Linked DNA regions of Callithrix jacchus. The protein of the gene in region 1 interacts with the protein of each later gene in a pairwise test. Links are inferred from orthologs where the notes say so. Each region holds a gene or a part of one and is shown on either strand. Other genes may lie near its edges. The genes, in order: FAM9B, LYRM2, SYT17, CCDC106, EBNA1BP2, TRMT61B and SNX20.

The links.
Region 2: the proteins of FAM9B (region 1) and LYRM2 interact in binary tests that used the Homo sapiens proteins (3 or more experiments, as listed by UniProt). The two-hybrid records come from large-scale screens. The link is inferred for Callithrix jacchus from reciprocal best matches to the Homo sapiens genes FAM9B and LYRM2.
Region 3: the proteins of FAM9B (region 1) and SYT17 interact in binary tests that used the Homo sapiens proteins (3 or more experiments, as listed by UniProt). The two-hybrid records come from large-scale screens. The link is inferred for Callithrix jacchus from reciprocal best matches to the Homo sapiens genes FAM9B and SYT17.
Region 4: the proteins of FAM9B (region 1) and CCDC106 interact in binary tests that used the Homo sapiens proteins (3 or more experiments, as listed by UniProt). The two-hybrid records come from large-scale screens. The link is inferred for Callithrix jacchus from reciprocal best matches to the Homo sapiens genes FAM9B and CCDC106.
Region 5: the proteins of FAM9B (region 1) and EBNA1BP2 interact in binary tests that used the Homo sapiens proteins (3 or more experiments, as listed by UniProt). The two-hybrid records come from large-scale screens. The link is inferred for Callithrix jacchus from reciprocal best matches to the Homo sapiens genes FAM9B and EBNA1BP2.
Region 6: the proteins of FAM9B (region 1) and TRMT61B interact in binary tests that used the Homo sapiens proteins (3 or more experiments, as listed by UniProt). The two-hybrid records come from large-scale screens. The link is inferred for Callithrix jacchus from reciprocal best matches to the Homo sapiens genes FAM9B and TRMT61B.
Region 7: the proteins of FAM9B (region 1) and SNX20 interact in binary tests that used the Homo sapiens proteins (3 or more experiments, as listed by UniProt). The two-hybrid records come from large-scale screens. The link is inferred for Callithrix jacchus from reciprocal best matches to the Homo sapiens genes FAM9B and SNX20.

What each region holds. Positions count from the first base shown.
Region 1 is NC_133524.1:9,246,968-9,251,489, reverse strand, and holds the start of FAM9B (protein FAM9B), read left to right. Parts: upstream 1-1,474; 5' UTR 1,475-1,578; intron 1,579-2,310; 5' UTR 2,311-2,376; coding exon 2,377-2,467; intron 2,468-2,952; coding exon 2,953-3,073; intron 3,074-3,252; coding exon 3,253-3,284; intron 3,285-4,522. UniProt on the Homo sapiens protein: May play a role in meiosis.
Region 2 is NC_133505.1:95,687,329-95,691,532, forward strand, and holds the start of LYRM2 (LYR motif-containing protein 2), read right to left. Parts: upstream 3,043-4,204; 5' UTR 3,017-3,042; coding exon 2,972-3,016; intron 2,941-2,971; exon of another isoform or gene 2,623-2,940; coding exon of another isoform or gene 2,584-2,622; intron 1,899-2,583; coding exon 1,758-1,898; intron 1,395-1,757; coding exon 1,314-1,394; 3' UTR 1-1,313. UniProt on the Homo sapiens protein: Involved in efficient integration of the N-module into mitochondrial respiratory chain complex I.
Region 3 is NC_133513.1:20,629,759-20,634,147, forward strand, and holds the start of SYT17 (synaptotagmin-17), read left to right. Parts: upstream 1-1,380; 5' UTR 1,381-1,549; coding exon 1,550-1,652; intron 1,653-1,793; coding exon 1,794-1,816; intron 1,817-2,486; coding exon 2,487-2,635; intron 2,636-4,389. UniProt on the Homo sapiens protein: Plays a role in dendrite formation by melanocytes.
Region 4 is NC_133523.1:48,511,413-48,515,815, reverse strand, and holds the start of CCDC106 (coiled-coil domain-containing protein 106), read right to left. Parts: upstream 2,854-4,403; 5' UTR 2,710-2,853; exon of another isoform or gene 2,601-2,709; intron 2,010-2,600; exon of another isoform or gene 1,954-2,009; 5' UTR 1,909-1,953; coding exon 1,878-1,908; intron 1,769-1,877; coding exon 1,664-1,768; intron 1,568-1,663; coding exon 1,391-1,567; intron 1-1,390. UniProt on the Homo sapiens protein: Promotes the degradation of p53/TP53 protein and inhibits its transactivity.
Region 5 is NC_133508.1:79,936,443-79,940,957, forward strand, and holds the start of EBNA1BP2 (putative rRNA-processing protein EBP2), read right to left. Parts: upstream 2,890-4,515; 5' UTR 2,646-2,889; intron 1-2,645. UniProt on the Homo sapiens protein: Required for the processing of the 27S pre-rRNA.
Region 6 is NC_133515.1:86,190,254-86,194,530, forward strand, and holds the start of TRMT61B (tRNA (adenine(58)-N(1))-methyltransferase, mitochondrial), read left to right. Parts: upstream 1-1,405; 5' UTR 1,406-1,413; coding exon 1,414-2,112; intron 2,113-4,277.
Region 7 is NC_133521.1:8,467,374-8,471,151, forward strand, and holds part of SNX20 (sorting nexin-20), read right to left. Parts: intron 2,592-3,778; 5' UTR 2,583-2,591; coding exon 2,453-2,582; intron 995-2,452; coding exon 843-994; intron 1-842.

The DNA.
Region 1 (4,522 bases):
GGTTTTTATTTGGATCCAAGTTGGAAGTCATTTCCTTTAGAATGTGAGTTTATCTCATTCATATTTCTTGCTCAACAGATTAACTTGGCCTTAATTCTGTTCCTTTATGTTATGTTATGGTCTTTGTTTGTAGTATTTTCTTTATTTTTCAACTTTTACCACAGGATTTGTATGCTTTGTGTGTGCTCTTTCTCGTTATATAGACATTAAAGGCTGTTGATTAGTTTTCCTGATGACTGCCTTTATAATTTCAATAACATAATGAACCTCTGTAGCTCGATTTACCAACTCTAGGCAGTATTTATTCACTCCCAACTCCAAAACAACCTTTACGACCTATTATAGAAGACTGGAGGTGGAAACAAGCTGAGTTAACGATATTAAGGCATTTGAGGGTGAAGGTTGTGGGATATGTCTGGAAAAGTCTGGAGCATGAGGGTTTGTGGGCAAGCCTGGGCAAGCCTGTGGGCAAGAAAAGTAGTGAGGAAACAAAAAAGGTTGTGGGCCTGGTGGGGTGGCTCACACCTGTAACCTCAGCACTTTGAGAGGCATAGGCAGGCGGATCACCCGAGGTCAAGAGTTTGAGATCAGCCAAAAAATAAAAATAAGAAAATTAGGCCAGGCGCAGTGGCTCAAGCCTGTAATCCCAGCGCTTTGGGAGGCCGAGGTGGGTGGATCACGAGGTCAAGAGATCGAGACCATCCTGGTCAATATGGTGAAACCCCGTCTCTACTAAAAATACAAAAAATTAGATGGGCATGGTGGTGCGTGCCTGTAATCCCAGCTACTCAGGAGGCTGAGGCAGGAGAATTGCCTGAACCCAGGAGGCGGAGGTTGCGGTGAGCCGAGATCGCGCCATTGCACTCCAGCCTGGGTAACGAGCGAAAACTCTGTCTCAAAAAAAAAAGAAAGAAAAGAAAAGAAAATTTAAAAAATTAGCAGGGCTTGGTGTTGGGAGCCTGTAATCCCAGCTCGTCGGGAGGTTGAGGCAGAAGGATAGCTTCGACCCGGGAGGCAGAGGTTGTAGTGAGCCGAGATTGCACCACTGCACTCCAACCTGGGCAATAGAGCGAGACTCAGTGTCAAAAACAGAAAACATAAAAGCGCAATCCATTGATAAAAAGGATGCAGCAGGGCATGTTGGAAGCACACAGGGAATGGAAAGGAGCCTGGGCACCACCCATAGGGTGATGGCCATTCCAGCCAAAGGGGCAGGGGTGGCTGGAACGAGTCCAGGGGCGAGATGCTAGGAGGCCTTGTCCACTTGGCCTCCATTCCGAGTCCTTGCATCCCACCCCAAGAGGAGGAGCCAGAAGATTGTGGGGATGGAGGCCCCAAAGGGCCACCCCAACTTCAGTCAACAGTAAGCCCTGGTCGGTCCCTTAAGGGGAAGGAGAGGCGTGGCAGCAGGGGGTTGGCCCCACACAGTCCTTCACCGGCATGCGCATGCGCATGCGCACTGAGCTGACCAATCAGTGAGGAGCGTGGGAAGCCAGGCCGGGTCTCTTTCTAAGACAGTCTCGTAGTGCCAGTGTCTTCTGTAGGTTCTGTGAAGGAGCCACATCAGGGGTCCCTCAGGTGACGCACTTGAGGCAGGGAGGTGGGAAGGTGGGCACAAGACCGTCTGGGAACCAGGGTGTGAAGAGCTGGGCGCCAGCTGACCTGTGAGGAAATGGTCCTGGGGTCCTCACCTGGGGCCTAGGTCAGGGCGAGGCACTGAGGGTAGACTGGGGTGGCTGGAGCAGGGAGGGAGCTGGAGCCACCTGGGTGGCCCCCCAGGACGAGGGAGTGTTCTGGGTGCTTCTGTAGGTGTGCAAGGGGGAGGGGCTGACGGTGCCGGGGAGGGGAGTGAGGCGGGCCGGGGGCGTTATGGGGGACGGTCTGAGTGGGTCTCTCCTGCCCAGCATCCTGTCAGAACAGGACACTTCAGGTCACTGGAGGTGCCCTGTGCATCCAGGAGAGCGAGTGGCAGTGTAGCTCCTGACATTCCTCTGGAGATGGCTGGGGAGATCCTGTGTCACTCCGCCGCCCTCCCAGCCACTCAGGGTCTCTTGGGGATCCAAGGGCAAGGCCAAACTCTGTCCCAAAGGCGCGGGTAGGATGCCTCAGAGGCCGTGGAGTTCAGGTGTGTGAGGCAGCTGTGAACTCTGCAGCCACCCCCGGGGACGGGCTGGACGGGCCAGGACGGGAGGGGACACTGGCATCTTCTCCCTCCCTCCTGCTCCCACAGGAGACTCGGGGAGGGCCAACCCCACCCATCTTGAACCCGCGATCCCAATGGCTTTCCTTTCTGACGCCTCGTTTCCTTAGCTTCCTTAGTCGTCTTTGCGCTCACCAGGTTCCGGGGTCGCCTCTAGTTTCCCAGGACGGCCAGCCATGGAACGCAGGGGCAGAAAGCACAGCAGGAGGGCTGCCAAGGCCCACTTGGAAGCTCAAGGTATGGCTGCCCAGGACAAAGAGCATGCAGGTAAACACAGCCCAAGGGGACCCGGAAGCAGGCGCACGCCCAAGGAGACGTCTGTCTGATCTCTGCTGGGGATCACACTGGCAACCCAAGGTCCCCGGCCTCTTCATGGCTTTGGAGTCCACTGTGCACGTGCTAAGACATCCCGGTTTTCAAAGCAGGCTCGAGGGCCTTAGACTTCCCACGGGAGGCTCCACCTCAGGCAGGGTTACAGGTGCTCTCAGAGTAGCTCTTCTCCATGGCTGAGGTCCTGGCGTCCAAGGAGTCTGACCTGTAGTGTGTCGTTTACTGGGACTTGAACCCCAAGGGCTTCCAAAAGTGCCTCCATTAAATGGTCAGGAGCCGGTGATTCCACGTATAGCCCTGCTTTAAAGCTTTAGTTGGCAGACAGCCAAAAACAAGTCCACAAACGGTACGTTTCTCCATGAAAAATGTCCACAACAGCGTCTTCCTCTAAAAACGGATTTGTCTTTTAAATTTTGATGCAGGAAAGGATCCAGTAATTGATGAACGTGAGGAAAGAAACCCTTTTACAGAAACAAAGGAGGAAGATGTAACTGCTGAGCAGGGGGAAAGAGAACCTCTTGATGAAACAGATGAATATGAGGGGTAAAGTGTGAAGTCACTGTTGTCTGTCGGATAGAGCCTTTTAGGAAAAGTCAGCTTTGGATCATGTCATCACCGTTCTAGTCTATGCAGAACATTTCACATAAGACATTTTTTCCCAACAAACACGACATTTTGTGTAGTCCTATGTTAAAATTTTGATGTAACTTTTTTTTTTATAGGGTTGATACCAACAAGCCAGAAGATATTGCAGGTATGCCTTAGGAAGTATCTGTAGTTTATGAAAATTGTTTTCAACGGTACAACTGTTACAGTAGGTTATGTGAATTAGTGGATGACAGACTGTCTTACATGCCTTCTTCTCATATGTAGCATTTAACTTAAGTATTTACCATAATCTGTTTGATAAATTTTTCTTACCTTTGTGATCATTAATGTGTAATGTAAGAATGCTTCTAACAATGGTGAATCGAGAGGGATGGCTTTTCTTTCATACACATGGAAAGTTAATTGTTGGGGGATATTAGAGGACATTGGAGGAGAAACAGCTCTATTCAATCCTTTCAGTGTACACAGATTAAGTCATATATCAGTTTTTTTTTCAATCTTTTACTTTAGGTTTGAGGGTACATGTACAGGTTTGTTAGATACATTGCGTGTCACAGGGGTTTGGTGTACAGATTATTTTGTCACCCAGGATTATAAGCATAGTACCTGCTGGGTGGTTTTCATCCTCACTCTCCTCCTGCCTGCCACCCTCAAGTAGGCCCAGGTGTCTGTTGTTCTCCTCTTCCTGTCCCTATGTACTCAGAGTGTTTAATAGGAGTTTTTCATCTTTCTAATTCAGCTATTCTATTGTCACAGCTTTCTGATTTTGTTTAAAAAAATTGAATTCTCGAAAATGATTTTCTATTATTATTCCAGCAATAAACTGTGTAGTAGAAAAGGAAAGACAACTTTTCTACCCAGTGGGAAACATGTCATTGGATCCAAAAACTCATACATTTTGTATAGGCATGTTACATGTTAGTTGCACTGACTGTTATAGGACCGTATTTTCAAAAAAGTTTGAGAAAATTTCTGTAGAGATGATGGAGACAATACTCTTATTTTTAAAAAGCTCAATTCAGTTTTCAGCTTTTCTATAGCGATAATACACATAAGCAGAATATTTGGAAAGCTTTGCTCGCTTGGTGGTGACAAAGTGCTGGTTTTGTGAGTTGCCTAATACATTGAGTGTGTTATAGATTGATACTGTATTTGAAAAATATTTGTATTATGGTGCAGATCTTTTATGATTGCTGAAAACTATTCTTAGTACTTGATGGTAGATCTCTTATGCAAAATCGTGTTTAGGAAAGCATTCCTTGCAGTATTACAGTTTTCTGAAACACAGCACTATGGATAAAAATATCATATAAAAACTCCAAGAAAGTATTTCAAAAGTGTTTCTGAATGTATTTCTTTATATAAACCTACATTTTTATACCC
Region 2 (4,204 bases), on another chromosome or scaffold:
TCTTTCTGGTTAAGTGCTTCAATGTGCTCATTAAGCTTCTCCTTCCCTTCCCTTTCCAACTGGGATCTAGATTCCCAGTGGTGATCTTTTTGACAAGTCCTCTATCAAACCACGACACATGTAAAGAACATATCCGAACAACCCTCAGGGATAATACAGGATTTTTCGAGAAAGTTCCAGGGTATCTCCTGATGTCAGTATACTCTCAGTCCTACACCTAAGAGTTGTTTTTCATAACAGCTTTATTGAGATACAATTCATATCTTATATTTAAAATGTACAATTCAGTGGATTTGAGTATATTCAGAGTTGAACAACCTACACATCAAGCTAACTGTAGGATATTTTCATCACCCTGAAAAGAAACCCTCCACCCATTAGCAGTTACTCCATTCTCCTACAGCCAGCCTAGGCAACCACTAATCTTTCCACCTGTTCTGGACATTTCGTTTAAATGGAATCATGATCTTTTGTGACTGGCTTCTTTACTTAACGTTTTCAAGGTTTATCCATGATTAGCATATATCAGTCCTTTGTTTTTTTTTACTTCCAAATAATGGTTATGGGCCTAGGGGTAGAATTGCTAAATCATACAGCAGCTCTGTTTCATCTTTTGAGGAACTGACAGTCTGTTTCCTGAAGTGGCTGCACCATTTTACATTCCCACCAGCATGTATGAGGGTTCCAATTTCTGCACATCTTCAACACTTTTATTATTTTTCTTTTTAATTACAGCCATTCTAGTGAATGAAGTGATAACTCATAGTTGTGTGTTTTCTTTTTTTTTTTGGAGATGGAATCTCACTCTTGTCACCCAGGCTGGAGTGCAATGGCATGATCTCAGCTCACTGTAACCTCTGCTTCCTGGGTTCAAATGATTCTCCTGCCTCAGCCTCCCGAGTAGCTGGGACTACAGGCATGCATCACCACACCACGCTAATTTTTGTACTTTTAGTAGAGATAAGGTTTCGCCATGTTGGCCAGGCTGGTCTCTAACTCCTGACCTCCAGTGATCCACCTACCTTGGCCTCGTAAAGTACTGGGATTGCAAGCGTGAGCTACTGCACCCTGCCTCATAGTTTTGATTTACAATTCCTTAATGATTATGTCCAGCATCTTTTCATGTGCTAACTGGCCATTTCTTAGTGGTTTTTACTTCTTTTAAAAACTGCAGAGACATCCATAAACATTTTGAAAATGTAGCAAATACTGTACATACAAATAGTAAGACTGGGCTTTGTGCTGTCCATCATTAATCCTAAATGCAACAAAACACATGGAGACTTTGAAAATCCTTCAGAATAATGATATAGTTAAGATTTTGCTAAAGCAAGTGTTTTTTCTAACTCTTTGAGCTGCATATTGCCTTGAGTAATCATCATCCGGATTGTGTCCTGTAGAATAAAGTGAAATCTGGTTACTGTTTTACCTGGTTAAACAAGGTATAGCTATACCATTTTATTTGTTAAAATCAAGAACCAATACTAGGTACTGGAACTGCTGCCTTTTAGGAAAGCCAAAAGATTTCCACATATATAATACATAGCATAAAAGTCAAGTGATGATGTTGAAGAGTACAGATACAGCAATATTAAATTTTAAAATATCATTTAAAATCGGTAACATTACAAGCAATGATCAAGCTATGCCAGCTCGGTGGCATTATATTCCAAGATGTCTGCTAAACTTAAAAAAAAAAAAATTCACTGAACAATTAAAAGAATTAGGGTCTGTCCACACCATGATTTTGTTCTCACCTCTTCGGTGGCACTTTTGTTTCTTTTGAATTCTTCCCTTGCCCAATCCTTCAAGTATTTGCGATCAGAATCATTTGGAACTTGCCGAATTGTTTGCAAAATCCTTCTGTAGAGGAGAAGAACTTGTTGCCTTCTTATGAACTGTAAAAGAGAGGAGAAATAACAATTACTACTGCACAACCGCCAGCCTGGAAGGTTCTACTTCAGCAAACAAGCTGTAACCAGAATCCTTCTCATTGGTCAATTTCGAAAAAGGCAAAGACTTTTTTTTTTTTTTTTTTTGCCAGGTGCAGTGGCTCAGGCCTGTAATCCCAGGATTTTAGGAGACCGAGATGGGAGGAGCACCTGAGCCCAGGAGGTGTAAGCTGCAGTAAGCCTTGATTGCTCCACTGCCCTCAGCCTGGGCAAGAGTAAGACCCTGTCTCAAAAACATGTTTTAAAGAAAGCATCACGAGGTTCATCTGATCTTTCTGCTTACTCCTCTGTGAAACCTAAGAACAATTAAAAAATCGGCCAGGCGCGGTGGCTCACTCATGCCTGTAATTCCAGCACTTTGGGAGGCCGAGGCGGGCAGATCACGAGGTCAGGAGTTTGAGACCAGCCTAACCAACATGGTGAAGCCCCGTCTCTACTAAAAATACAAAAATTAGCTGGGCGTGGTGGCGCGTGCCTGTAATCCCAGCTACTCAGGAGGCTGAGGCCGGAGAATCGCTTGAACCCGGAAGGCGGAAGTTGCAGTGAGCCGAGATCTGGCCACTGCACTCCAGCCTGGGCGACGAAGTCAGACTGTCTCTACACACACACACACAAATCAGGAGCTGACTACCGGGCTGAAAAGGGCTGCCGGTCTCCTAGAAGTTGTCATCACGACGACAGCACTTTTTCTAAATTAACAGTTGTTCAAATCTGTGGTAATCTCATTTGCCATTTGCCACAGCTCAGTGCAACTGACAGCTGCACTGAGTAGCAGCGGAGCCGGTACTTGAGGAAATTAAGCACCTGGCGCACCTGACACGACCGCACTAAACCGAGTCAGCGGCTCTTGCCTCCCATCGGCCTACGCGGTGCGAAGCCCCGCCCCGCGGGCGTCGGGCTAGTATCAGAGGGCGCGCGCCGCGTCAGGATCCCGGAACCCGCCCCGTTAGATGGAGGGTAGATGGAGAATCCAGACGCTGAGACCCAGGTAAGCTACTCTGGAAGGCAGAGAACCGCACCTGCTTTAATGTTAGCGTCGCTGGGGGTAAACGGGTAGCGGCCATGTCCGCGAGCGGTCCGCCGGAGCCTCAGCGCGCAGGAGCGGAAGTGGGGGGGTTCCGACCAGAGGGTGTGGCGAGCCTGGTTTCCTGGAAGACTGCCGGCGGGTTTGTTACTAAGAGCGCGAGGTATCGGGACTGAGGCCCTAGGGTTTGGAGCAGGTTATGGGCTGCGCTGGCTGCAGTTTTCTCGTCGGTAAAATGGGATAGTAGTGCCTCATAGGGTCGTTGTGATAACGAAAGAAGGGCACTTAGCACGGTTTTTGGTAAAGAGAGTTCATCAAATGAGAGTGAAGGAGGCCGGGCGCGGCGGTTCAGGTCTGCAATTCCAAGCACTTTGGAAGGCCGAGGCGGGCAGATTACCTGAGGTCAAGAGTTCGAGACCAGACTGGCCACCATGGTGAAAACCCGTTTTTACCAAAAAATAAACCAGCCCGGCGTGGTGGCAGACGCCTGTAATCCCAGCACCTCGGGAGGCTGGGGCAAGAGAATCGTTTGAATCCGGGAGGTGGAGGTTGCAGTGAGCCGAGATTGCACCACTGCACTCCAGCCTGGGCGACAGAGCGAGTCTCGGGGGAAAAAAATAAGGGGGGGTTTTTTGTGGGCAAAGAGGGGAAAAGCATTTGTTCTTTTGGCAGTACTTCATTTGATCCCACTTGGCACAAGTCTTGAGACAGCAGAACAGAGGTTGGCTCAGCCTCTAGAGGCGTGTCTGAGGGGCAAGGGTTGTGTTAAGAGAGGAAAAGATTTGGCAATATGAATAGCCTTGGAGTGCATCTCTCTCTCTGTTCGTCCTGTGCTTTTCTAATACAAGCGTTTTCCCGGAACGGTGACCTTCATGAGCCTTTGAAACAAAGCTTTGAATGGCTGCCCCACTGCGGGGTTTTTTGTTTTGTTTGTTATTGAGACGAAGTCTTGCTCTGTCACTCAGGCTGGAGTGCAGTGGCACTATCTCGGCCCACTGCAACCTTTGTCTCCTGAGTTCAAGCGATTCTCCTTCCTCAGCCTCCTGAGTAACTGGGATTACAGGCGTGCGCCACCACACTCAGCAATTTTTTTGTACTTTTTTCTAGTAGAGACGGGGTTTCACCATGTTGGTCAGGCTGGCCTTGAACTCCTGAGCCACCGCGCCTGGCTCCCACGGCAGTTTTAAGCACTTTTCATAAGGAGGAGCAGAACATCCCTAAGCCTCAG
Region 3 (4,389 bases), on another chromosome or scaffold:
GACAGGGTGCATTTTGTTTTTCAGCTGGACAGCAAGCATTTGCATGGTCAGTGTCCTGTCCTACCTCAACAGCACCCCTTTGAGGTATAGAGTAGCTTTTCCATGAAAGAAGAGGTAACCAATGCTCAGAGAGGCCCCTACTTGCTCAAGTCACATGATCAGTTGATGGTGAGACTAGGACTCTAGAACCTCTTGACTCAGCTTGTTGTGTGGCCCCTTAGCACCTTTGGGTCTTGTTCTGTGTATGGTTTTGGCTTTAGAGACATTTGTGATGAATGCCTTTAGACTATTTCCCAAGCTGTTATTCCCTTACTACTTCAAGGATTTTGAATTTCTCACAAGCCATGTGCCACCTGTACTATTATTATTATTATTATTTTAGATGGAGTCTCACTCTTGCCTAGGCTGGAATGCAGTGGCGCGATCTTGGCTCACTGCAACTTCCTGGTTCAAGCAATTCTCCTGCCTCAACCTCCCCAGCAGCTGAGATTACAGGCATCTGCCACCACACCTGGCTAATATTTTGTATTTTTAAAAGAGACATGGTTTCACCATGTGGCCCAGGCTGGTCTCGAACTCCTGACCTCAAGTGATCCAGCCACCTTGGCCTCCCAAAATACTGGGATTACAAGTATGAGCCACTGCGCCCAGCCCTACCTATGCTATTATTAACTTTTTTCCTATAAATGGGCTCACTTTTATTTTTACTTAAAAAAAAATGGTATGAAAAGGAAACATGTCATGACTCTCATAGGAAATCCAGATCATGTGACATAGGCAGAAGGCAACTAGAAGAATAAGCATAATGGGAATGATGCCACATTGCTGAATTCTAGGTGGATGGGGCTATCTTCAAGGCTCTGAGCTAGATCAACTTCGTTTGTTTAAAAGGAAGGGGTTGGGGGAGGGTAGGAATTGGTAAGTGGTAAAAATACAATGGTACCAAATTGAGACTTTCTCCTCCTTGAAGGAGAATGGGGTGGGGGTGGGGGGAAGATAATAACTTTCTCCCCATTGATTCAAAGTTCTGAGTTTGAGTCCTGCCTCAGTTCACCTCTGGGACATGCCCGAGGTTGGGGTGCAGGACTTCTATCTAGTCCACTTGGCCCATTTGGAAAACCATCTTAAAGAGAAGGAGGGAGTTTGTGCTTTGAGAACCCAGGAGACGAAGATGGGGAGGCAGGGTGGGAGCACAAGAGGAGAGGGAGGGCCTCACAATAGAAGAGGAAGGGAGGGCCTCCCTCCTCAAGAGGACCAGATTAGGGCTTCCTTTTCAGTTCCCTCTGTTTGTGGGTGGTGATAGGAAACACCCCACTATCACCATTGGAGCAGAATTGGAAGGTAGGGCCTCCTGGAGGGCGGGGGACCCAAGTACCATCCACTGTGTGCCTGCCTGCATGTTAGCTAATCATGTCCTTTCGGGTTGGCTACATGGCTATTTCTGTATAGGAAGGTTTGCTCTTCTCCTGAAGTGTGGCTGTATTGGATAGCATGACTATCTATCTGCCCGCTCTGATTCATAACAGCATACGGTGCAAATCAGATCGAAATGCTAGAGTTTCTCATTTATTTGGTGTTGGTTAACCGGGAGGCTACCAGCAGCCCTGAAAATAGCAACACCTTGTTAGGAAGTCAGCTTCCTTCCCAGGATGGTAAGTGGAAATATGCAGGGCTTTTTTTTTTTTTTTTGTAAATTTTTTTGAGTTGCTGGAATATTGCTAAACTGGTCTTGTCTCTCTTTCTTTAACCCCTTCATTCCCTTACGCCCTTGGCTTCATCGTGGATCTTAAAAGGGCAGTTGGAACCATTAAACGAGGTGGGTTCATGTGATGATTTGTTTGGTCTGGTTTCTAATCAAGAAATGCCTGACTTTCATTTTGGAGTCTTATGTGGGGCTGTGGGGATATTGAATATTCTACAGTAACCTGGTTGGTGTTCATAACAGCTCAGTTTCCATTCCTTTTACCGAAAGGAGATCCCGGTTTTGAAAAGACACCAGTTGACAAAACAAGTTTCCCTCTCCACCCCTACTTATTCCGTTTGATTATCTCTGTCTGTTTCATGTCACCGAGATTATTTTTAAAAAATTTTTTTCCCGGCTTTTCAGAAGACAGAGTAATATGCATTCTGTTTCAAGAACATATTGTATAGCCTCATGATGTCGTATAAACCACCCACATGTCAAGAAAGACGTTCACATAAACTACAAAAGAAAATACCTGCAAATGTTTCACTTGCTACTAATGGCCCCAGCAAGTTGATGTTTGCTATCTTTGTGCCTGCAGTTGGTAAATAGAAATGGAAAACATTTTGTTCTAAGTGCTGAGCAGCAGAACCAGAACCCTTGAATGTCTTTTTCTCATCCAAGATCGGCTGCTTGTAATTTTGGGTGTTGTTTCTCCTTCTCCTCTTCCTCACCCTGCCAACCTCCCTTCTCCCCTTGCCCCCCGCCCCCTCCCTCCTCCCCCCTCCCCCAATGGCCTCAGGGTTTTCTTTCTAGAATCTCTGATCTGCTGCTGTGCAGATGGACCTGCCGGCACTGCTGTCAGAAGTGCTACGAGTCCAGCTGTTGCCAGTCGAGTGAGGATGAAGTTGAAATTCTGGGACCTTTCCCTGCTCAGACCCCTCCCTGGCTGTAAGTAAAACTGCTCTGAACTTCTCTGAAATCAATTTCAAGACTTTTCCCTTTTTCTGAGAAGGGGGCTGGGGGCCTGGGCCATGGGAGGGAGGATCTGGGGGGCATGAAAGAGCAGCAGGCTGAGTTTCCATGGACATCTTTGCTACAGACTGGGGATATGTTCTGTACCCCTCATTTTGTTCAGCAAGCCGGCGAGACCAGCTGGTGGTGTGGTTTTAGTTCACCTAGTGGCACATTGGGCCTTTGGAGATATGAACTGTGTAATGCTAAGCGTGTGGGACGTTTTAGTCATGTGGAATGTTGTTCTGAGCAGAGAAGGAGGTCTGTGAGTCTCTGTATTCTTCAAGGGCTAACCACATTCTGAGGTTTCCATCCAAGTCAGCGTGACAAGATTTCCTGGCATCCAGTCCAGGGCCTGCACATAGTAAAAGCTCGGTAAATATCCATTGCATGGATGGGTAGACGGAATAAAGAAACAAGTGCTTTTTTGCTGCTCTGAACAAGAACTTCAGAAACAGGGAAGCAGAAAAGCACCTCCGGGCTCCATCCTGTCCTCCAACGCTGTTTATGTTCTCTCTGGCATCTTTCATTTTATTTCTAATTCGCTCTCCTCCCGCGCCTGCATACAACATCTCCATCTGCCAGTCGCTCAGATATTTTGGGAACGCAGTTTTGAAGCTTCTCAGCCACGTGTCTGGTCCACCTCTCCGTGACTGAGAGAGGGAAGTGGTCAGAGAGCCTGGGTACAGTCAAGAAGGTCGGGGCTGAGAAGGGTCAGGAAGACATCAAGTGAGCTCCTCATGACTCGGAGGGGCAGGCCCAGGAGGGAGAGACAGCAGCCAGGACCCACAGCTGGAGCCTGGCAGGGTGGAAGGAGACAGTGCTGTCTTAGCTCAGTCCGTGGCCTGAGATTCCAAAAGTCTCTGGTGCCCTGTCTTTCTCTTCAGGTTGGGGCTCATGCCTCAGGCCTCTCATTTTTTCTTCTTAGAAGCAAGTATCAAATATTTTCACAGCAAAATGGCTCCGTATCCAGGCTGTGTAATCTTCACTACTATTTCTAGTTCTGTGACCTTGAGCAAATTGATCTCTCTGTGCCTTGATGTCCCATCTATAAAATGCGATGCTAAAAAGAATGGTATTTCTTTTTTTTTTTTTTTTTTTTTTTTTGAGACGGAGTTTCGCTCTTGTTACCCAGGCTGGAGTGCAATGGCGTGATCTCGGCTCACTGCAACCTCCGCCTCCTGGGTTCAGGCAATTCTCCTGCCTCAGCCTCCTGAGTAGCTGGAATTACAGGCACGCACCACCGTGCCCAGCTAATTTTTTGTATTTTTAGTAGAGACGGGGTTTCACCATGTTGACCAGGATGGTCTCGATCTCTTGACCTCGTGATCCACCCGCCTCGGCCTCCCAGAGCGCTGGGATTACAGGCTTGAGCCACCGTGCCTGGCTGCAAAAAGAATAGTATTTCGATCAGAGTTGTGGTAGGGAGTCAATGAATCTGGAATGTGGAAAAGTAGTTGGGAATGCTTGATACCTTGTCGGCGATTATAAATGTAAGTAATTCTGGCTGGGCGCAGTGGCTCATGGCTGTTATCTCAGCAGTTTGGGAGGCAGAGGGGGCCGGATCACTTACATCGTGAGACCCCTCCGCCACCCCAAGCTCACCAAAGTGTCGAAAAATTAGCCAAGTATGGTGATGAGTGCCTGTGGTTCCAGCTACTCTGGAGGCTGAGGTGGGAGGATTGCTTGAG
Region 4 (4,403 bases), on another chromosome or scaffold:
GCAAAGACACTGGTGGGCTCAGTAGGGCCAGCTGGGGGCTGTGGGGGGTGCTCACAGGTGGAGCGTTTTCTCAGAGGCCTGGGTTGGTCAGAGATCTTGGGGAAGCAGCCAGAACCAAGGACCTTAGGACCCCTGTGACTGTGTGTGCTTCCCATGGAGGAGGGGCTGGGTCTGGGAACCCAGGAGGCAGGCAAGGCCTTGGCTGGAGTCGGGGGGTCAGACCCTGAGAGAAATCAGGGGCCCTGGGTGCAGCAGGCTGGGTCCCACCTCCACCCAGACACAGGGTCCTCTAGAAGGCGGGTTAGGGGAGGGGTCTGGTGCAAGGGTCCCCGCTGGGAAAGTGCTGGGGCCGCAGGGCCCAACCTCCGTGCAAAGGAGTCAGAAAGTCAGTGGAAGGAGACAGTGGCAGGCAAGGGCAGCCGGAGGCAGTGTGCTTCAGAGCACAGGGAACGGCAGATCCCCAGATGCCACAGGCCCCTAGCCCACGCTTTTGGGGGAAAGGGTTGAATTTACAAAGAGAGATGTGGGAGCTTTTGAGGGGTCTTCCCAACCAGGGAGCTACCAAGGCTGAGCTGAGGGTAGGTGAGGTAGAGTGGGTCTTCAGGACATGGGCTAAGGGTCTGGGGCAAAGGGCCTGACCATCTGGAGAAAAGGTTGGGGCTGGGCTCTCAAATGTATGAAGCAGGGCACAGGGTCCCAGCGGTCAGAAGAGAATAGCTGTGAGCTGGCTGAGGCAGTGGGCTGCCTCTGGTCATGAATTAGAGCAAGGGACGAGGGTGGGGACTGCCTGGGAACCTGGTGCAGGGTCTGGGGGACAGCACATGCTGAGGCCCCACCTGAAGAGCCTCACTAAGGGACTTAACTTCTTTGATGGGGAAGGAGTGCTCATTAACCAAGGATGGGACACGGTGGGTAGGAAGACAGCCCCTGGTGTCACACAGGGGAGGGGACAGAAGAGGCTAGATGGCTGGACTCCTGGATCTCAGAGAAGACAGGCCTGGGAAGAGAAGCGGGGGCCCCTGAGGACACTCAGAGGACTAGGATGGGCTTCTCAGCCAAAGAGAAGCAGGAACATCCCCTAGGAGTCCGGAAGAGAGAAGCTCAGGTCCCTGAGTCCCTAAAAGCACCCAGGGCTGGGGAAACATGGTGGGACACTTGAGGCTGATGGAGAAGGCAGAACGGGCCCCAGGAGATCGTTCATGGGGTTGAGGCCTTGGAGGCCAAGCGAGAAGGAAGCTGGGCTTGAGGCCTGGAAACAGGCAGGGGACTAGCAGAGAGGGCCAACATGGCAGGTCCCACACAGCCAAACAGTGGAGCCTCAAGCCTGGGCAGGCGGGTGCCCAGGAGCGGGACAGGGAGGTGACAGGCCCAGTGTGTCCCACAGACACACCTGCATCCATTCGAGCGGAAGAGATGAACTTGTCCAGCTGGCAGCGCAGGAAGTCCCTCTCTTCCTCCAGGTCCTCGATGCGTTTCTGCAGCCAGGAGTTCCTCTCCAGGGCCATGTGCAGCTGGGCCTTGACGCTGTTCATCAGGGCCCGGGTAGGGGATGTGTCTTCAGGGAGCCCTAGGGACACAGCAAGGGCGGGGCCCAGGTCACACCTTGGGACTCAGGGCCTGGCTTCCCAGCTGGCTCCAATCCCTCCTCGGCCCCTCAGCTCACCCTCGAAGTTTCCCCGAGAGGGGCTCAGACTGTAAAAGATCTGGGAGTCTAGGTGGGGCGCCTCGTCGAAGGGGATGGAGATCTCGAAGGCCTCATCTTCCTTCACTGGAGAGGAGAGGCCCTGGGTCACCCCAGAGGAGTTCCCAAGCCCCTCAGCCCACCCCCCCCAACCACGGCAGCCTGGAGCAATAGCACTGGGACCCAGCTTCCTCACTTGTCCGCCTCCGGCTGGTCCGGTCATTCATGGTGTGGCTTCCTGTGGACCCCAGCAGCCGAGCGCCTCAGAGGCACTGGACAGAAACAGCAGCCACAAATGGAGGGACGCGGACGGACTCGAGGGTCCATCCTGGGGGAGGTGAGATGAGAGAGGAGGGAACCCTGGTCTGAGGGAGGAGGGAGCCCGGACGCCAGGACTGAGGCCAAACGTCCAGGTTCGAACTCCTGGCCTCCCAGAGACAGGGGCAGGGGGCCCAGCCGCCTATGTCCTGAGGAAGAAGTGAGCTGGGGACGTGGGCTCCTGGGTATGAAAGGAAGAAGCGGAAGCCCTAGGTAATTGCTGGGGCTCATCGCAGGCCACCTCCAGGCCTAAGCAAGAGGCAGGTGCAAGGGAAAACTGCCCCAACTTCCCAGGATAGGGGGAGGTCCGGCCGGTGCGCGCGGCCTCCCATACCCCCTGGGCTCCATGCCCCTCCCCCGCACTCGCGTGGGCGGGCGAGCCCTCCCCCGGTGGTGGGGGCTGGGCGCGTGCGCAGTACGGGGAAAGGTCACGCGTGGGGATGCGCCCCCCCCGCCCCCGCCCTTTGTCCCGCGGGTTGGGGGGGAGCAGTCGTGGAAAGATCCCAGCGGGGTCATGCAACAGGCCGGGGGTGCAAACGCGGCCACCATCCCCTGACCGTGGATGCCCGGGGTCCGAGGGGCCGCGGTCCCCCACGCTCACCCACCCGCGCGTGGAATCCGGCTCGGGGACCGACGGCGGCGGCGCCCATGCCCGGCGCCGGGGAATGTCTGCAAAGTGTCACGGGGAGCCGAGGGAAGCGCCCACTCACCCGCGAACAGGCGGGGCGGCAGGGTAGCGAGCCGTGGAACTGAGCGATGGAACGGACAGGGACGTGGGGACTCGCCCCGTCGGGCTAGGCCAGCGCGCCTCGTTCGAGAGTCCCTGGGTCCAGGTGAGGCCTGTCGTTTGCGGCAGAAGCAGGGGGATGCACTTGTGCGATGGTCCCTTACAGCACTCCCCCGCCCTCCCCGAAGCTCAGGCAGGGAACGTCACGAAATTCCCATCCAGGCGAGCCGGAGAGTCTCCGGGGGTCCCCGGGTTCGGTGGCGGTGTGCCCAGTGGGCCCCGGAGAAGGCAGGAGAGTTGGAGCGAAAGAATCTACTTTTAACGATCCCTCCGGAACTAGCCAGCGCGGACCCGCCCAGAGCCCCCGCCTCCCACAGCCAGACTCCAAGGTTCCCAGGGACGTGGGGGCCAAAATGGGGGAAGCTACCCTCTCCCGGAAAGCGAGGGCCAGGAACACGCCACCCCCACCCCCATGTTGGTAATGAAGAGCTAGCTTTGGAGCAGAGCTACATTCCAGTCCAGACTGTTCCTGCCCCTCCCCAGCCTGCTAACTCACCTGTGAAATGGGGACATGACAAGCCCTAAATTTCTTGCCAGCGTGCGGTGCTGTGACAGGCAGAAGCGCAGCCCAGCACCTGGCCATAGGCAGGGCTGAAGAGAGGGGCGCTGCCGGCATTGAGGCCACATGATGGGGTGTGATCGCAGCCTCTGTGAGGCTCTTTCCCACTTCTGGGAGTTGAAACAGATTTGTTCCTCCTCCCAAAAGAGGTCGGGAGAACAAACGCGGCCTAGCACAGGGCCTGGCACAAAACAGGCAAGGAAAGTGCACTCAGCTCCATCTGCCTCTCCTGTCCACCAGAAGCATCCAGCCAGCTCTTAAGAAAGCGAGGTCTTCACTCCATAGAGAATCTACATGTCTGCACCTCCTGCAAAGCTGTGACCATGACTCTCCTCCCCAGCTCACTTTACAGATAAACTGCAACCTGGTCCAAAAATTCCTGGGCGAGCCACCTGCCCTAGATTGGCCTCTTCCAAAGTACAAGATCGTAAGTGGAGAATTCAAAACAGGGTGGAATCAGCAGTTTAAAAAAATAATTAGCCGGGTGTGGTGGCACATACCCATAATCCCAGCTACTCAGGAGGCTGAGGCAAGAGAATCGCTTTCACCCGAGAGGCAGAGGTTGCAGCGAGCCAAGATGGCACCACTGCACTCCAGCCTGGGTGACAGAACAAGACTCCATCTCAAAACAATAATAACAGTTGATGGAAAAAAAAAAATCTGCATACTAAAGCTAACTATGGTAAAGAAATTTTTGTCTCGAGGCCCAGCACTCTGGGAGACTGAGGCATGTGAATCACCCAAGGTCAGGAGTTCCAGGCCCATCTGGCTAACATGGTAAAACCCCATCTCTGCTAAAAGTGCAAAATTAGCCAGGCGTGGTAATCCACACTTGTAATCCCAGCTATCTGGGAAGCTGAGGTAGAAGAGTCACTTGAACCCAGGAGGTGCAGGTTGCAGTGAGCCGAGACCACACCATTGCACTCAGTCCAGAGCAAACACTAAAAACAAACAAATAAAAGGCCTGTAATCCCAGCGCTTTGGGAGGCTGAGGCAGGCAGATCACGAGGTCAGGAGTTCTGAGACCAGCATGGCCAATATGGTGAAACCCTGTCTCT
Region 5 (4,515 bases), on another chromosome or scaffold:
TCTGCTTGGAGGACAGAGTTCAACAGCCCTGTGAGGAGCCTGCCTTTCCACCTGACTCCACATTTCCTGATAAGACCCAGAACTAGAACAGACACTTGCCCAATATTTATACCAATGAAGCTTTTAGTCTTTTTTTCTCCCATCCAAAAAGTTCCCTTCAAATCCCCAAGGGAAAGGGAAAGGGAAAGGGAAGGAAAACGTCATCGGTCACCTGCTGCAGCTCTGCCTGAGACAGCTGGCCCATGGGTCTGGCTGGGACTGGACCCTCCTGGGGACCAGGGTGGGTAAATAAATGTCAGATGTGTGCAAGCGGAATCTGCAGCCAGCAAGCCCTGTGGGGCCCCTGGCTCCCTTGCTCCTCTGAGTCAAGCCCCTTTATTATAAAGGGGATACCTTTATAATGCTCTGCAAAGTGGCAGCATGAACACCTGCAATGCCACACCATTGTCTCCCCACCCCACTCCTCCCAACCATCCTCTGATCCAGCCTGCCCTGACCTTCTGGAGGGAAAGGACATCTAAAGCTGTGCCACCCAGTAAGGACACAGCCACGTGACAGATGTGGTACCTGGGCATTTGCAATGTGGCTGGGATAAATGAGATGCACTGTAAGTGTAAAATAATACCCACCAAATTTTGAAGACTTTCGGTTCACGCCTGTAATCTCCACACTTTGGGGAGCCAGGGCAGGAGAATCGCTTGAATCCAGGAGTTTGAGAACAGTCTGGACAACAGAGCAAGGCCCCCATCTCTATTTTTAAAAATAAAAATAAAATACCCTGTGCAAGATAAACTGTAAAATAGCTCAACAACATATAATGTGTTTTGGAATTAAATAAAATATATTAATTTAACTATATTAATCTTGTGGGTTTCTTTTTCATTTTTGAATGCGGCTTTTTGACAAGTTTAAATTATATATGTGGCTCACGCTATATTTCTAGTGGACAGAGCTGTTCTAGAATTATGACTGGCCCCCAGTCATCCCCACGGAACAAAGCAAAAAGATGCAAAAGCAGGTCAAGCACAATTATTTTGTGAACTGATAATTGCAAGATAAGTGTGATCTTGTTTTTCTTTTCTAGTTCACACATCAGGAGGAGAGAGCAAGAGACATCACAGGGACTGGTCCAGGAGATGGGGGGCAGCTTATACCCACTCCAGCCAGCCTGCCCTTCGCCGGTCCAGAGGGTAGTGTCTGCAGTGCCAGATTTGCCTACTAGAAGCTCCAATGATGTCCCTGTTAAACTTCAGAACTCTCCATGGGCACCTTACACAGTCCAAGTGCCTCACTCTGGCCTTCAAGGCCATGAACAGCCTTAGCCAAACTTGTCTTTCCAGCTTCATCTCACATGCTTCCTGCTCAAAACCCCCACACCTGTCCGTTCACACTTTCATTTCATCCACTAATCAATCATTCAACAAATATGTATTGATTACTTCCTACATATTAGCTACTGAGGTCATGATGATTAGCAAGAGGCACTGTCCCTGTACTTGCTGGAGACCACACATCTAGCAGGGGATGACAGGTAAGTACACAAAAGGCACTTAAGCACGTTGCAGTAAGAGTAGTTGTTGGGGAAGCACAGAGGCCATGGGTACACCAAAGAGGCACCTAAACCAGCCTGCGAGTCAGGGAGGGCTTCCTGGAGGAGGTGGCATCTCCATTGAAGAATGCAAATCACGCAGACTGAGGCTGGGAGTGGCAAATATCCCAGGCAAGGGACAACTCTTAAGTTCAAAAACGGGAAGAGCAGAGAGGAGAGCAGGGTGCCAGTGGCAAATGACTGGCCTGGTGCATATGGCAGGGGCTTTCTGAGCCTTGTGAAGGAGTGTGGCATTGATTTTCAAGTGTTTATTCTAGGAGCTCCTGTCTCCCACCTGAAAGGCCTTCACCCCCTCACCGCCCCCACTCCATTCCCTGTTCACTCAAATCCTGCTTCCCCAGCAGGATCCAGTCTGTGGGGTAAGCCAGGCATTTGAGGCTTGAGGGAGAATGAGCAAGGGGCTTGTGGAGGCTCCAGCCCAGGGCCAAGGAATGGAGGTACTGGGGCTGCATTTGGGGGTACGGTGGTGTTGGAATTTGGGGCTAAAGCTGAGTTTGAGGTTGGTGTTGATTTTGGGGGCTGGAATCAGGAACAGGAGTTGAGGTTCGGGCTGAGTGTGAGGTTGAGATCTAGGATCTTAGTCAGAATTTGGATTGGAGTTAGGAGTTGGGGGCTGAGGCTTCTAGCCAGATTTTGGGTTGGATTTGCAGCTGGAACTGGAATTGGGTTTGGAAACGGGGCTGGGGGTTGGGGTCGAAACGTGCGGCAGGAGCTGGGGCCGGGGTGGAAGCTGGAAGTTCTAGCTAGGGTTTGCAACTGCAGCTGGAGTTGGGAGCTGGTTTTGAAACTGGAGCTAAAGCTAAATCAGGGTCAAAGCTGGGGGCGGGTTGGCGCCCAGGCTCTGGGGCAGATAGACGACATTCCTCCTGCTGACCAGGTCTGCGAATTGTGTTCCGAGCCCTAACAGCAGCAGACAGAAGCCCCTCCCTTCCCAGGAATGCCTTTGCCAAGCAGAAGGAGCAGTGCCACGTCAGCCAATCGGCTCAGGCCCTGCCCTGGAAACGACACCTGTTCATCCTCCTCCCCCCACACTCACCTGAGTGCAGGTTAGGCAGGTGAAGTATCTCCCCGGAAACAGAGCTGGAGTGCCCCACCTGCTTGGCCCTGCCTTCTCGGATCGGATTCAGCACGTCCAGGCTTCTCGTGAGTTCCCCAATAGTCCCCCCAGGCCTCACCGTCCCCACCTTCTCCCACTAGCTTTTCCTCGGAGAACCTCCACCCCCACCCCCAGCCTGGCCCCCACTGGCTCAGCACACCTGTGCAAGCACTTTCAGACCAGCGAAGCCACAGCCCAGGGGAATGCTGGGACTGACTCCCTGGCCACGCCCACCTCCCCCACTTCCTTGGGGATGGCGGCACCAGCCCCCACCCACCTAGAAGGTAGGGATCAGCCTCTGCAGAGGAGTCTCGGGGAGGACAGATACCTCAACAGGATGTAACCTGTGCACAGCCACATAGTAATATTCCCAGAATGACCCAGGACCTACATCTTCTGCACTGTCCTGCCTTGGAGGGGGTAAATCGTTTTCATGTATTCAAAAAGCACGCTTTGAGCATCTATGCAGGCTCTAGGCCCCATTGGAATTCTGAAACAAAGATGTCAGGTGACTTATCCCCACCCCTCACTTTTTTTTTGTTATTGTCCTCACTTTTCAGATAAGGAGACTGAGACTCTAAGAGATGAAACCTTCAGGCTTCCTGGCCCTTCCCCCAGGCCCCTCTTCTGGGCTCTGCAGGGTCCACACCCGCACTTAGCACAGGGACTGGGCCTGTTTGCTTCTGTCTCTCTCCTGCTGCAGACTGGGGCTCCCTGAGGGCAGGGACCACATGTGCTTTATTTCTACCCAGTGTGAGACATGCTGTCCTCTGGAAGGCAGGTTAAATGAGCAACCACTGCTAGGTGCCTGGCCAGGCTCCTGCCAGTGGGAAGGACTGGAGCTGGTGTCCAAATCCAGAGCCCTCCTTCTTCCTTGCTCCACTTTAGAGGGATCATGGAGGAGGATGGCATGGGGGAATGGCAAGTGTGGAGAAGAGCGAGGAGAGCGGGAAGACCAGTGAGGAGGTAGAGGCGGGCCGTGGAGATGACTGCAGGGAACTGGCTGGAGAAATGTTTCGAAGTGGAGCCGGGGGACAGGACAGATACAGCAGAGGGAGGAGGAGCTGGCTGAGAGGGTGGGGATGCAGTGCCTGAAGTGAGGAAGCAGGAGGAGCAGGTTGGGGTAAGATAATAAGCTTGGGTTGGGACCTGTTGCATCACCAGGGACATTGAAGTGACAGCTGACTCAGGAGGGAGGTCTAGGTTGGAAAGAGAAATTTGGGAACTGGCAGTTTATATCACCAAACTTGTGGCTGTGAGATTGGATGTGATGTTAGGGGAGGGAGGGTGTTAGGGGTCTGGTCCTAACCCACAGAGAAGGAGGAGACACAGCCCTAAAACAGAAGAGTCAAGGTCAGTCAGGCTTCTGGTTCCAGAAGGGTTAAGTCATAAGCACCCCCTCCATACCCACAGCTACCCCCCCAGGAACCAGTGGTGACAGCTGAGGCCATGTGAGTCAGATCCTGAATGAGGCTTTATCTCTGGCTGATCATCCCATCATCCACCGTGGCACCAGCTCCCTCAGCCAGCCGGGATGGGACAAGCGACTGAGAGAGCCAGAGGCAAAGAGCTCAGAACCTGGGTGAGGGGACTCCCTGGAGGGTTTGTGGGGTGGGGGGTACTCTATGGGCAGGGCACTCCCCTGGGGTCATTGAGAGGCATTCCCAAGGGACAGTGCTGCAGAGGGGGCTTTCCCAGGGGAGATTTGGGGGTGACACCAGGGTGGATTCTCAGGGACCATCCCAAGGCTCCCAGGTGTGACCATGGGGGACAGGTGGGCTGGGAAGGTAAGACTGTAATCTTTCCCCTA
Region 6 (4,277 bases), on another chromosome or scaffold:
TTTTGTAGATGGCAATCTCCCTATATGGCACAGGCAGGCCTTGAACTCCTAGGATCAAGCAATCCTTCGGCCTGGGCCTCCCAAAGTGTCGGGGTTACAGGTGTAAGCCAACATGCCTGTTTGCCCAAATTATTGAATCTCCCTGGGCCAGTTCTTTTACTCATAAAGTGGCTTTGCTACGGAATTGTAACAGACTCTCCATAAACTTTTGCCCAGTGAACCAATATCCAGCAAAGAGGCTAGTGAATTTTTTTTTTTTTTTTTGAGAAAGAGTTTTGCTGTGCCACGCAGGCTCGAGTGCAAAGGTGGTTCCATCTTGGCTAACTGCAACCTCCGCCTCCAGGGTTCAAGCTATTCTCGTCCGTCAGCCTCCCTTGTAGCTGGTATTATTACAGGCGTGCACCATTGCTCCCGACTAATTTTTTCCCCCGCGGAATGGAGTCTAGCTCTGTCGCCCAGGCTGGAGTGCAATGGCGTAATCTAGGCTCACTGCAACCTCTGCCTCCTGGGTTCAAGCGATTCTCCTGCCTCAGCCTCCCTAGTAGCCGGGATTACAGGCGCAAGCCACCATGCTCAGCTAATTTTTGTATTTTTGGTAGAGACGAGGTTTCACCATGTCGGCCAGGCTGGACTCCAACACCTGACCTCAAGTGATCCGCCTGCCTAGACCTTCCAAAATGCTGGGAAGCTAGTTATTTAATGTTAAATAACTTTGGGCTCCAAAGGTATGTTTCCATTTTAAGCCGCTTCTATTTTGGGAGGTAAACTAGTTATATTTTAATCATAAAAACATCTATTACGTAAGCACATAGTGAATACGCGAATAGACCTTCCCGGATGGGTGGGTGAGGGGACCGGCAGATGTTCACAGCCCCGTCTAAAAGGACTTGGGGCTGGGGGATGTCCCGGTCAACTGGGAAAGGAGAGCCGGTCAGCGAGTAGCCCGTCCCACGCCGTCTGTCAAATGCATGCCGGGGTTAGCTCTACTCATACATCTTGGGGGTGACTAGGTAACTTCCGTGTTCAAGAACACAGCGAGCTAAGCCTGGGACTTCACAGCTGCACAGCGCTTTGGCCAGTTTTGTCTCTCAATCTTCCGGTCCCCAAGCGAACCTGGAGGACGTCTGTTAGCGGTAAATTCTTCCCTTTGCCCACATTCCTAAAGTGAAAACGGGCGCCTGCGCGCGAGGACATACTCCTTTGAATGGTCACTAACCCAGCAACTCACGCGACTTCTGCGCCACTGCTCCACTAGGCCGACCGCCTCCTTCGCGACGCAGGCGCAGTCGCGGAGCTGTAGAGCCCTGCGCAACTGTGGGAGCCTCGGGCTGCTGAGCCGTGCGCGCGACGGTGAAAGGAGTGGTCGCGCGGGGCCTGCGTCACTCGTCTGCGACGGCGCCTGCGCGAAACACTATGCTGATGGCGGCGCGTTGCGGTCCTGTTTTGCTATCCCTGCGGCAGGATCTCGGAACCAATTCATTCCTGCGCCGCCCGGGGCAAGAGCCCTTCAAGGGAGCTCGGTCACTGTGTTGCAGGTCCTCGCCTAGAGATCTGAGAGACAGAGAAAGAGAGCACGAGACAGTACAGAGGAAAACCCCAGGAGCAGAGTCTTGCCCATCTCTTCCTCTGAGCATCTCGGACATTGGGACTGGATGTCTTTCGTCAGTGGAAAGCCTCAGACTTCCGACGCCGCGGGAAGAGTCATCCCCTCCAGAGCGCGAGGACTCGAGCGGAGACCGGGGCCGGTGCGGTCCCGCACAGCAGGGATCCGAGGATCCCTCGATGCTGTCGCAGGCCCATTGCGCTATCGAGGTCAAAGAGCCTCATGTCTCCTCTTCTTGTTCAGCTTCCAGAGAGAGACCCTTCCAGGCTGGGGAACTGATTTTAGCTGAGACTGGGGAGAGAGAAACACAATTTAAGAAATTATTTAGGTTGAGCAACGTCGGACTCTTAAATAGTAACTGGGGGGCAGTCCCGTTCAGCAAGATCGTGGGGAAGTTCCCTGGCCAGATACTGAGGAGTTCCTCCGGTAAGCAGTTCATGATGAGGAGGCCAGCATTAGAAGACTATATATTATTGATGAAAAGAGGGGCTGCCATAACGTACCCAAAGGTAATGCGATGGAGATAAGGTGTGTATTGGTTCCAGGAGGAGCAAAGACAGATGCAGTACTCAGTCCTGATCAGTATACTCAAAGGACAGCTCAGAACGTTTGGATTTTTTAAAATTATACTTAGCCTTTTAAAATAAACCAATGGATATAACTTTTACATATCACGATGAAAATTAGAATTAGCAAACAACTAGATTTTAATTTTAACTGGGAGTCTCGATTCCCTTGTTTGTAAAATGTGGGTAATATCTCAACTTTCTGTTAGTGTGATGTGAACTCAGTAGGTACATAATAAGCACTAATTTTGTTCCTCGTTACTCAGGATTCAAGAGAATGCTGAACTCTTAGGGAACAATTTTGTAACACTATTATGGTGATATTTTAATCATATTCAGTAGGGCATGTTATGAGAGTATATTTTATCAACAATAGATACGGTGCTTTTCTTGTTAGGGAAGAAATAGAGTTTTGTATTAACATAGCTAACAGTCAACACTAAACATAAAATGACTATTCTTTATTAAAAAGTTAACTGCCTAGAGCCTACTTTCAGTCTTTTTTGAGACAAGTTCTCACTGTCATCCAGGCTGGAGTGCAGTGTCATGATCTTGGCTCACTGCAATCTCTGCCTCCTGGGTTCAAGCAATTCTCCCACCACAGCCTCCTGAGTACCTAGGACCATAGGCGTGTGCCACCACACTGGGCTAATGTTTGTAGAGATGGGGTTTCTCCATCTTGCCCAGGCTGGTCTCCAACTCCTGATTTCAAGTGATCCACCCACCTCAGCCTCCCAAAGTGCTGGGATTACAGGCGAGAGCCACCGTTCCCAGCCCTAGTTTGAAGTTTATGATAATCATCTATTGCTAGCAGTTTGTTTCAATCCTTAGTCACAGTCACAGTCCTTGAGTAGAATGTTCCTGTGTAACACAACTCTCCCTCCTTCTCCAGATCAGGATTCATTCATTATTTATTCAGCAAATAATTGACTGCCTTCCATATTCAAGGCACTATTTAGGGCGGTATAGTGTTGAACTGCAGTCCTTGCTCTCAACGTAGACCTTACACTCTGGAAGGGGTGACAAAGAACAAACATGTAAATGAAAGAATAAGGTCATTTTCAGTAGTATTGAGTGTCACGAAGGCAAATAACATTAACAATGACATCGTTTTGGGTGACCTGGGGTAGGAACATAATTATGTCAGGTGAGTAGAGATGGTCACTAAGGAGATACACTTGATAGGAATCCTAAATAAGGAAGAGCTTGCCTTGTAAAGATCTAGGAACAGAATTGTTCTTGCAAAGGGAGGAATACAGCAGCATTCCTGTTGTGCCTGAGTGGGTCAGGTGAGGGACCCAGTATGAGGTGTGGTTGGAGTATTTTATTCCATGTATAGTGAAGGACCATTGGAAGGTTCTGAGTAGGAATCCAGTCTGTATTTTAAAAGGTGTACCCAGGGACTAAGAAAACTTAGGCTGCTGAGGTATCATAAGCTTTTTTGTCTTTAAAGACAGGGTCTCGCTGTGTCACCCAGGCTAGAGTGCAGTGGCTCAATAACCTCTTACTGTAGCCTTGACCTCCTGGCCTCAAGCAGTCTTCTACCTCAGCCTCCTGAGTAGCTGGGAGCACAGGCGCATGTCACTATGCCTAGCTAATCAAAAAACATTTTTTTTGTAGAGTTAGGGTCACTCTAATTTGCTCAGACTGGTCTCAAACTTCTCTAGGCTCAAAGGATCCTCCCTTGAGGGTGCTGGGATTACAGGTGAGGACGACTGCTCCTGGCCATGGTATCATAGCTCTTGAAGAAAACTAAAAGACTTCTGTAATTTTATCTTGCTTCCCCATGTCTGCTTTCTCCCCATTAGACAAAATCAAGAGAGATTAGTTCTATTTCATGAAGTTATAAATATGCATCTTTAATGTACTTTCTGCCTTTCCATTTGTCACAGATAAAATTCCATTCTAAGAAGGAATTTAAATACTGAATTTGCTAGGTGCTGACTTCTCTTTATGGCCTCCAAATAGGCTGCAGATAGTTTGACTTCAACTTTTACAACTTTGAAATGCTTAAGAGAATACCTCCACTGATTTTTAAAAACTGATCTCCCTGTAATCCCATCTTAGTATTAAAAATATGACCAGAGGCTGAGTGCAGTGGCCACGCT
Region 7 (3,778 bases), on another chromosome or scaffold:
ATAATTATAGCCCCACCACGGTCTAGCTGTGTGGTTTTAGATTGGTAATTTAATCTCTCCGAGCCTCAGTCTTCTCATTCATAAAACGAGGACAGGCATAGTGCCTACCTCACCCAGTGAGGATTAAATGAGACAATGCCCTGAAACCACATGGAGTTGTGCCCAGCATGCCATTGGCAGTCAGCAGTAGCTTTGTTATTATCCTGGTCCCAGGGAAGTGAAGGAGGATGAAGTGCGGCTCTCAGGACATCTTGAACATCTCCCTAACACAAGCTAAAATTCCAGTCTAACAGGGAGAGCAGCCCCTGGGCTCAGGGCCTTCCCAAAGCCACAGTACCCAGCTAGAATTTAACAGCAGCGGGTAGCTTTCCTTGTATTGACTGACCTTTCCAGTATGGCTTTTCTAGTTACTTTTTTTTATGCCATGTGATGTTGGTTTTCCCTTTAAGGTATTTCTCTTCGAAATAAATGTATCTTGTGTTTTAAAAATGTGATCCAATTTAAAGAAAACAATAAGTAATAATAATTATAATGGATACAGGGATATGGCAAAATTGGTGAAGAAAGGATACAGGTGACCTACACCGGATAAGATGGGATGAAACCGGACTATTTCCTTCTTAGGACCAAGAAGCATGAGTTGTATGGTTGGAATCCTCACAGACGCTAGCAGTACTGAGCCTGAAATCTTACTCTTTGGCTGTTTTCTCTGGAAGAATGCTGTGAGTTAGAGTGTGTCGACCCATTTCATAGTTGGGAAAGCTGAGGCCCCACAAGATTTGTTCAGGGGCAGGAAGGAAGCAGAGTGAAAGAGGCGCCGCCATTTCCTGATCTCTGCTTACCACAAACTTGGAGACTTTTCTCTCCTCGATGCGAGCTGAAGCGATCTCAAAGAGCAGTTTGACGTGCTTCCAGCGGCATTTCTCATTCTGCCAGTACTGCTGAAGCTCCCGCGTGGTCATGCTAGAGTTGGAGCTCAGGCCGCTGTGCATGTCTGGAAGGACAGCACCCTTTAGGATCTGCACCCGGTCAGTGCACTTTCGAGGCAAGGGCTTGGGGAGATGGCTAGGTGGATCTGAGATGGGACATCAGGACTCCTAAAGAGTGCTGAATATCTTTCACTCCCACCCCACCATTTATAGGACCAAGCAGGGCATCAGGCAGACCTCTGTGTCCAGTCTGGCTGAATCCACCCTCCAACTGACAATCTCAAATAGCCCATCATCCCCAAGTGGTTTCTCAGCTGTGAAATGCAGTGCAGGCACTTTGCATCATCCGGCTTTGGTCTGCGGATTGGCCTTGGTGAAATCCCTGCTCCCGACAAGCAGAGACCGTGGCTTGTGTGTTTCTGAGCTCCCTGCACCCCTGACTTCATGATTGTTGCCAGGACTTCTTGAGCACACATTGGTGGGCAGGGGAGGGGGGAGTGATGAGGATGCTGTGTTCCAGCCTCAGCGGGCTGGACCTTCCTAACGTTCCCATCTAACTGCCCACGTGCCAGGCTTTTCTCAGACACACACTCCTCTGCTTTGCATCCAACCCTCTATTTCCATGCCTGGAAAATGAACACGTCTTTCTTAAGCCCCACTTGAGCTCTGAACCTCTCTGAGCTTCTTGAGAAGTGCAAATAATTGCGCATTTTATAAGGCCATGGGTCCCAGCTCTTTTCCAATCAACCCTTCAAGACCCAACCCCCGCACCACTGCAAATGCCCCTTGGCATTAGAATAAGAACCTCCCACCTTGCTCCTATAGCCTTTTTTTGTGGCACGTCTAACTACTTTTCACTGATCTGTTTCTCTGCCAAACCTCAGGGCCAGTGCAGTGTTTGATCTGTTCTGTTCCTGCTTCCGCAGTGCCCTGCATAGGGCCGGGAACAGAGCAGGTGTTCAACAGGGGAATCTTGAAGGATTGTAAGAAAAGGTTTGTTCCAGGAGATGGCGCTACAGCAGATGCTGTCCTTGCCCATGGCTGGGCCATGCCTTTTTGGCACTCACTTTTCCAGAACATGCTACTGGCTTCCCTGAAGGCTTTCCAGGGCGGTAGCAGCAGACCCAGGAGCGTCCCTTCTCTGATGCAGGGAAGGACTGGTAGATAATAGCCTGGCTTCCTCACCCCTGGGATAGGACAACCCAGAGATATGTTCCAGGGTCTCCCAGAAGACCCCTGCTGGAGTTGGGCCTCAGCCACCTACCATGAGCATCTGTTCACTGATGCCCTGCACTGGCCTCCTGCCCTGCGCTCCCTCGATTGCCCACTCTCCTGCTGTGACTCCTAGGACCATCTCCCGGATAAACAGCTTGCACAGATCTGTGTCTTAGTGTCTGCTTTGGGATAACCCAAATTACAAGAGCTGCCCAGGCCTCTTGCTGCATCTGCCAAAGCGACCCACATTTGTACTTTGAATGTCTTCCGACATCTCCCCCAGACCGAGTCTCAGGCCTCCAGCCCACCTAAGTGCCCATCAGGTCCCGGGTGCAGGAGGTCAGGGCCAGTGGCTGGTGCTTCCTGCTTGGTCCTTGCAGTGCAGTGGGTTATGGGTCCCGTCCAGCCAGGGCTCCCAGGGTGCTCTGGACTTGCCATGCTCCAAGTCTGCCAGAAGAACAAGAGAACAGTGAGTACCCCCTCCAACTGGGGTTCCCCTTGGCTCCTGGAGTGCCTAGGAGCTGTGTCATGTCCCCTGCTGGCAAGCAGAGGGAATGACAATGGCCCCACCGCTCTCCCAGCTGCCAGATCCCAAACCTGGGTCTGCCCCTTTGCTGCGCAGGAAGGCAGAGAAGACCCTTCGCCTACTGTGATGATCCATGTGTTATTGAGGTGGTCCTTACGTACTGCTCAGAGTTTTAAATGAGATGATTTCAAGCAAAAGGATTGGCTTTAGCGATTACTTGAGAGAAAGATGCTGGCTTGTCCAGATACTCAGTTTTACGTTACACATGTAAATGATGTCTGTGTTCAGGCTGGGCATGGTGGCTCATGCCTATAATCCCAGAACTTTGGGAAGCAGAGTCAGGAGGATCACTTGAGCCTAGGAATTTCAGACCCACCTGTGCAATGTAGTGAGACCCTGTCTCTAGAAAAAATGTAAAAAAATTATCCAAGGGTGGTGGTGCACACCTGTGGTCCCAACTACTCAGGAGGCTGAGGCAGGAGGATCCCTTAAGCCCAAGAGACTGAGGCTGCAGTGAGCTATGATGATGCCACTGCACTCCAGTCTGGGTGACAGAACGAGACCATCTCAAAAAAAAAAAAAAAAAAAAACGAAAGAAAGAAAAGAAATCTCAGTATTCAGCGCAGAGCAGGTAGATACGCTGGTATGAATCCTCTATAGATCAATCAATCCATTATCCATCTATCAGCAAAATTAGTTGTACCGATTTCACCTAGGTTCTTCACAGCCCCTAATTTAGTTTAATGCTCACAAAAATCTATCATTACCACCAAATAACAGATGAGGAAACTGAGGTCTAGCTTAAAGTCATGCAGCTGGTGAGTGTGGGCAACAAGCAAAGGTGAGTTTTTCCCCAGTGCTCAGTGACATTCCAGTATGTGCCTGATACCCAGCACACACGTTGGCACTAGCCTGACTGCTGGCTGCAGTCAGGAGTTTTCTTCTCCCTTTTATAAGGGAACTGAGACTCAGAGTTGCCAAAAATGAAGAGCTGGTGAGTGGTGGGCAGGATACAGACCTAGGCTGGGTTGACTTCAAAATTCTCTCCACCTTACTCAGGGAGGGAGAATAGGCAGCTGGCATCTGGTTCACATAATAACTCTGTCTG